2 linked regions of the Callithrix jacchus genome follow. The protein of the gene in region 1 purifies or fractionates together with the protein of each later gene. This does not show direct contact. Links are inferred from orthologs where the notes say so. Each region holds a gene or a part of one and is shown on either strand. Other genes may lie near its edges.

Evidence for each region.
Region 2: the proteins of LRWD1 (region 1) and ORC5 purify together in Homo sapiens (affinity purification with mass spectrometry; 4 studies listed by BioGRID and IntAct, with this or other methods). This does not show direct contact. The link is inferred for Callithrix jacchus from reciprocal best matches to the Homo sapiens genes LRWD1 and ORC5.

What each region holds. Positions count from the first base shown.
Region 1 is NC_133503.1:11,378,615-11,381,414, reverse strand, and holds the end of LRWD1 (leucine-rich repeat and WD repeat-containing protein 1), read left to right. Parts: intron 1-1,295; coding exon 1,296-1,387; intron 1,388-1,529; coding exon 1,530-1,685; intron 1,686-1,776; coding exon 1,777-1,889; intron 1,890-1,985; coding exon 1,986-2,126; 3' UTR 2,127-2,235; downstream 2,236-2,800. Other genes in the region: POLR2J (DNA-directed RNA polymerase II subunit RPB11-a), read right to left, coding at 2,668-2,703. UniProt on the Homo sapiens protein: Required for G1/S transition. Recruits and stabilizes the origin recognition complex (ORC) onto chromatin during G1 to establish pre-replication complex (preRC) and to heterochromatic sites in post-replicated cells.
Region 2 is NC_133512.1:74,525,485-74,529,304, forward strand, and holds part of ORC5 (origin recognition complex subunit 5), read right to left. Parts: intron 2,877-3,820; coding exon 2,676-2,876; intron 1-2,675. UniProt on the Homo sapiens protein: Component of the origin recognition complex (ORC) that binds origins of replication. DNA-binding is ATP-dependent. The specific DNA sequences that define origins of replication have not been identified yet.

The sequences.
Region 1 (2,800 bases):
TCGCCTCACCTTCACCTGGGACTTTAGCACTGTGCTATGCCCACGTGACTCGGCCCCCTTCTGCCACTCAGTGTGACGGTCCTCTGTGCTAGTGTAATGCCCTCATCTGTAAAGGGGTCTGTCTGATGGCTAGCGGAGGGCAGGCGGGCAGGCTTTGGAATGCCATGTTGAGACTTTGTGGCTCACTGTCCCGCCTGGAGAGCCTCCAGGATAGGGCTGGGCATCGGGTCCCTGTCCTCTTGGGGCCACCAGCCTCCAGACGCTAAGCAAAGGCGGCCAATCAAAACCCTGCCGTGTGATGCCAACTCTGAAGGACAGGGGAAAAAAGTAATGGACACCAGCATGGGGGCCTCAGGGGACTCTGCTGAGGGGACCAGCAGCGGATGAATAGGTTCTGGGGCTCACGCCTTCCTCTCTGGGAGCCTGGCGAGGCACTCAGCAGGTGGAGGGAGGAAACGCTATGTGCAAAGGTCAGTGGTGGGGGAGCCGGCTTGCCCTGTGGCCACAGCTGGGTGGACAGAGCCCAGAGCGAGGTGGCAAGGATGCCTAGGCAGTGCATGCTGGGCTTGGGGCTTCCTCAGCCACAGTGAGATTTGGATTTTTATTTTTTGAGACAGTCTCTGTTGTCCAGGCTGGAGTTCAGTGACAATCTCAGCTCACTGCAACCTCTGCCTCCAGGGTTCAAGTGATTCTCCTGCCTCAGCCTCTCGAGTAGCTGGGATTACAGGCACCTGCCAGTAAGCTCAGCTAATTTTTGTATTTTTAGTGGAGACGGGGTTTTGCTGTGTTGGCCATGCTGGTCTCAAACTCTACCTGGTGATCCGCCTGCCTTGGCCTCCCAAAGTGCTGGGTTACAGGCCTGAGCCACTGCACCCGTCCTCCCCAGTGTCTTTAGAGTCAGAGCAGATGCCCCCGACAGTCCCCTGGGCTATGGCCTGGAAACACCTGGCCTATTTGGCTGCCAGGACGGCCAGGCCCCTGCTCATCTCACTCTTGGTCCCAGAGGCACTGGCTCGCTCCAGAGCCTTTTCTGACCACCTCGCCTAGCCCTGTCCTGAAAGAAGCACCCTTCAAGCCTCTGGGTCACTACTGTGACTTGGGACACTCAGGTGCTGGCTCCCCCTCCCAGGGCAAACTGAACCATCCTGGAGCCAAGAATGTCTCTTTAGTAGCAACTTGTGTGCGGCCTTCATGCAGGTCGGGGCCCCCAGCAGGTGCCCTGTAGATGCCCGGGTGAGTGGGCAGCTCTCTGTATCTGCAAGGAATGGCTGACCAGTGTCTCCTGCTGTCCACAGAGTGTGTGAAGTAGAATTCATTTTCTCCGAGGGCTCTGAGGCTTCTGGACGGAGAGTGGATGGGCTAGCATTTGTGAATGAGGACGTCGTGGGTGAGTGAGCCCGGCTCAGGGACAGCCTGGCCTCTGGGCATGCAGATGGGTCGCTTGTCTCTGGCTGGGCTTCTGAGGGTCTCCAGAGGGAGCAGGTATCCGGGAGGGGCCGCCCTGCACAGTTCTCAATTCTCCCCCACAGCCTCCAAGGGCAGCGGCCTGGGCACCATCTGCCTGTGGAGCTGGAGGCAGACATGGGGTGGCCGGGGCAGCCAGTCCACGGTGGCAGTGGTAGTCCTGGCGCAGCTACAGTGGTCGCCCACCGAGTTGGCCTACTTCTCGCTCAGCACCTGTCCTGGTGAGCCTGCCCTCTGCCCGTGTGCCTACCCCATCCCCGCAGGGCCTCTGGGAGCTCTGCCCCCACTCAGGCTCCACCTCTGTTCTGACAGATAAGGGGATCGTGCTCTGCGGGGATGAAGAGGGCAACGTGTGGCTCTACGATGTCAGCGACATCCTGAAACAGCCGCCCCCACTGCCGGCAGCCCCACAGGCCCCCACACAGGTACCTCCCGGCTCATTCTGCCTGGGCTCGGGCTGCAAGGGGTCAGGGGCCCTGCCTTTGGGCAGCAGGATCCCAGCCCTCCTCTCTCCCCACCAGATCCTGAAGTGGCCCCAGCCCTGGGCCCTTGGCCAGGCAGTGACCAAGACCATGGTGAACACGGTGGTGGCCAATGCCACCTTCACCTACCTCACCGCCCTGACAGACTCCAACATCGTAGCCATCTGGGGGAGGCTGTAGCCTCACGCGTCGCAAAGGACCAGGGACACAGCTAACTTATTCAGCTCTGGGGTGATAGGGGTAGGGGGGTGTCCCTATCAGTATTTTTATTAAACTCTGTGGTCGAGAAGCCTGTGGAAAGGTGTTCCTACTTTGACTGACAGGCTGGCCCGGCAGCTGAGGCTTCTAGAGCAGAGACTCATGGGAGCTCATGGGCTTGCACACTTCCCCCAGCTCAGCACTGCCTCCCTGGCAGCTCCTGAGCTTTGGTCCAGAATGAGTTTGTCCCTACCAACCGGAGGCCCCTGAAACACGTCATCTGCCTGCATCAAGCCTGACAATCTGTGCCTGTGAAGCTGCTGCTGCTGAAGTCCACATCCAGGTCTTGTCCTGCCATACTTTACTTTATTAGGAATATAACAGAGGATCTGTACAGGACACGCTGGTGTTGGGGTGAGGGGGCATTGCAAGGTGGGCCATGGCTGAGACTGGCCGTTCTCGGTGGAGGGTCAGGCGCAGGTAGGAGCTGGGCTCACAGGCTGAGCAGAGCCCCTTGCGGCCACTATTCAATTCCTTCCTGCTTGTCTTTGATGGCCACCTGGGAGAGAGGAAGAAGGCGGAGACTGAGCTGGAACAGCTGGGGCAAGGAGGTTGGAAACACAAGCCCAGCATCCCAGGACCAGGGCCTTCCTGGA
Region 2 (3,820 bases), on another chromosome or scaffold:
GCTTTGCCTTCGCTTTCCACCATAATTGTAAGTTCACTGAGGTCTCCCCAGCCACATTGAACTGTGAGTCAAACTTCTTTCCTTTATAAATTACCCAGTTTTGGCAAGTTCTTTATAGCAGTATGAAAATGGGCTAATACAGTAAATTGGTACCAAGGTAGTTGGGTACTGCTATAAAGAGTGGAAAATGTGAAAGTGACTTTGGAACTGGGTAACAGGCAGAGGTTGGAAGAGTTTGGAGGGCTCAGAAGACAGGAAGACATGGGGAAGTTTGGAACTTCCCAGAGACTTGTTGAATGACCATGACCAAAATGCTGACAGTGATATGGACAATGAAGTCCTGCCTGAGGTGGTCTCAGATGGAGATGAGAAACTTCTTGGGAACAGGGAATCAAGTGACTCTTGGTATGCTTTAGCAAAGAGAAGGGTGGCATTTTGCCTCTGCCCTATTGATCTGTGAAACTTTGAACTTGAAAAAGATGATTTAGGGTATCTAGTGGAAGAAATTTCTAAGCAGCAAAGCATTCAAGAGGTGATCTGGCTGATTCTGAGAGCATTCAGTCATACGCATTCACAAAGAGATTATCTGAAACTGTAACATATTTTAAAGTGAAGCAGAGCAGAAAACTTTAGAAAATTTGTGGTCGGACCATGAGTTAGAAAAGAAAAACCCATTTTCTGGGGAGAAATTCAAGCCAGCTGCAGAAATATGCATAAGTAACGAGGAGCCGCCAAATATTAACAGCCAAGAAAATAGGGAAAATGTCTCCAAGGTATGTAGAGATCCTCATAAGGCAGCCCACCCCATCACAGGCCCAGAGGCCTAGGAGGAAAAAATGGTTTCATAGGCCAGGGCCTAGGTGCTTTGCGCAGTCTCAGAACTTGGTGTCCTACATCCCCACTCATGGATAAAAGGGGCCATTGTATAGCTCAGGCTGTTGCTTCAAAGGGTGCAAGCCCTAAGCCTTGGTGGCTTACATGTGGTGGTCCTGCAGGAGCATAGAAATCAACTAATGTTTGGGAACCTATGCCTACATTTGAGAGGATGTATGGAAACGCCTGGATGTCCAGGCAAAAGTTGGCTGTAGGGGCAGGGCCCTCATGGAGAACTTCTGCTAGGGCAGTGCAGAAGGGAAAAGTGGGGTTGGACCCCCTACACAGGGTTCCCCACTGGGATATTGCCTAGTGGAGCTATGAGAAGAGGGCCACCATCCTCCAGATCCCAGAATGGTAGATCCAACAGCTTGTACGGTATGCATGGAAAAACCAGAGGTATTCAACCTGAGCCTGTGAGGAGGGTACTGTACCCTGCAAAACCACAGGGATGGAGCTGCACGAGGCCATAGGAACCCACTCTTGCATCGGCATGCCCTGGATGAGAGGCATAGAGTTAAAAGAGATCATTTTGGAACTTTGAAGTTTAATGGCTGCCCTACTGGATTTCAGACTTTCATGGGGCCTACAGCCCCTCTGTTTTGGTCAATTTCTCCCATTTGAAAAGGCTGAATTTACCCATTGCCTATATCCCCATATTATCAAGGAATTAAGTAATTTGCTTTTGATGTTACAGGCTCATAGGTGGAAGGGACTTGCCTTACCTCAGATTAAGACTCTGGAATTGGACTTTTGGGCTAATGCTGGAATAAGTTAAGACTGGCGGACTACCGAAAAAGCATGATGGGTTTTGAAATGTGAAACGGGCATGAGATTTGGGAGGGACAAGGGTGGAATTACGTGGTTAGGCTTTGTGTCCCAATTCAAATCTCATCTTAAATTGTAATTTCCACAATCTCCATAATCCCCATAATTCCCACTTGTCAAGGAAGAGACCAAGTGGAGGTTAATGTATCATGGGGCAGTTCCCCCATGCTGTTCTTGTGATAGTGAGTTCTCATTAGATCTGATGATTTTCTAAGGAGCTTTTCCTTCCTCCTGCTTTGTGAAGCAGGTGCTTTGCCTCCCCTTTGCCTTCTGCCATGATTGTAAGTTTCCTGAGGCCTCTCCAGTCATTCTGAACTGTAGGTCAATTAACTTTTTTCCTTTATAAATCATCCATTCTCGGGCAGTTCTTATCTAATTCCAAAGACGATCATTTTAACATGTCTTCAGAATAATCAGGCATATTTGTTGCTCTAAACTCTTTACTACCTTCTTTCACTCCCTAAGAAATTGAATAAAGTACTTCAGTATAGTTTTCTATACCTTCTATGATTTGCCTCAATCTACCTTCCAGTCTTCTTTTTCTCTCTTCATACTTTATAACCCACTATAACTAGACTATTTGGCACTCTCTGGCCTCCATTCTCACCTTCATGACCTTACTTATATAATTCTATCTGAAATTCCTCTACTTCAATTTCTTCCTAGAATACTTGGATTCATTTAGGTCTACCTCAAATGTTAATACCTCATGAAGTTATACTGGAAACACACAGTTAATACTTTGCATCTGGTGACAATCACTTATCACATTCTGCATGTAGTCATTTGTATGTGTCATACCTTTTCTATTAAATGAGGCTTCCCTTGGACAAGGAATATGTTTAACACATTTCTGCACACCAAAAGTGCCTTGCACAGAGTACTGTGCATAATGGGACTCAAATATATGAAAACTGATCTAATAAATGATTATCTTCATATAAGAGATGAATTAATCAAATGAAATTACTTACAATATATACGGTCTGATCCTTGAGATTTTCAGCTTTGGTTACTTGTTTAAACAAGCGAACAAAGTCATTAAATGTTTCACAGGTTATTTCGGAAGAACATCCATCCTCTGAAGAACTAAGATTATTCAATTTGTTTAAAATTTGTTCCAAAAGCAGCCTTAAGGTAAAGCATTCAACACAATTCACAAAGACATGTGGGAGCTGAAAATGAGAACCAAAACAATATAAGTAAAGAAGAAAACACACAGACCCGGTAATGGGTCTGCTGGATATTCTCCATTTGTCTTTCTAAGTCTATGTCCCACCAAACCCATCCCATGCCCCAAGAGCCTGATGGCTACAGATTATATTACCTAGACTCTCTTATTTACTGGCTCTGGATGGAGAAGCCAGTGGAAAAGAACCAGCAGAAGACTAAGGGAAAATGGTAGGAGAGAAGCTTGGATATTGATTTCCTTGACTCCCACCATGACCCCTAAGTGGCCCTAGCTTGGCAGTGGATACTCTTCTACCAAAGATCAAGTTGGACAGCCCCTCTTTTAAGGCTATACCTCTTGCTGGGTTCCAGTAACAGCCCTTCTATGATCCCTTCAGGCCTGGAGGTGGTGAAAGCCCTGGTGTACCATCATCCCTTACTGATTCCCATAAAATTTCCTCAACCTTTTAAAAATACTCCCTTCATTAAACCCACTTCAATTATTTCTTTCAGTTTGCCATTTCTTCCTTATAGAAATTCAAAGCAAACTGGTATTTTCCTATAAAGAATTCTTATATAGAAATCAGCCAGGCATAGTGGCTCACATTTGTAATTCTAAGGCTTTGAGGTCAGGAGTTCAAGACCAGCCTGGGTAATATAGTGAGACCCTGTCTCTACCAAAAAAAAAAAAAAAAAAGAAGAAGAAGAAAATCCAAATATATTTGAATGTTAAAATTCTTAGTAGAAATTTTACATTTATAACTTTAATATCCTTGAATAAACCTAAGTCAAAAAAAAAGAATTTTAAGAGTTTGAAACCACAGTAATCCTTTTATGAGGACTGTTAAGAACTAGCTCTTGGCTATGCATATGGCTCATGGCTGTAATCGCAGTGCTTTAGGAGGCCAAGGTGGGAGGATCATTTGACCCTAGGAGTTAAAGATCAGCC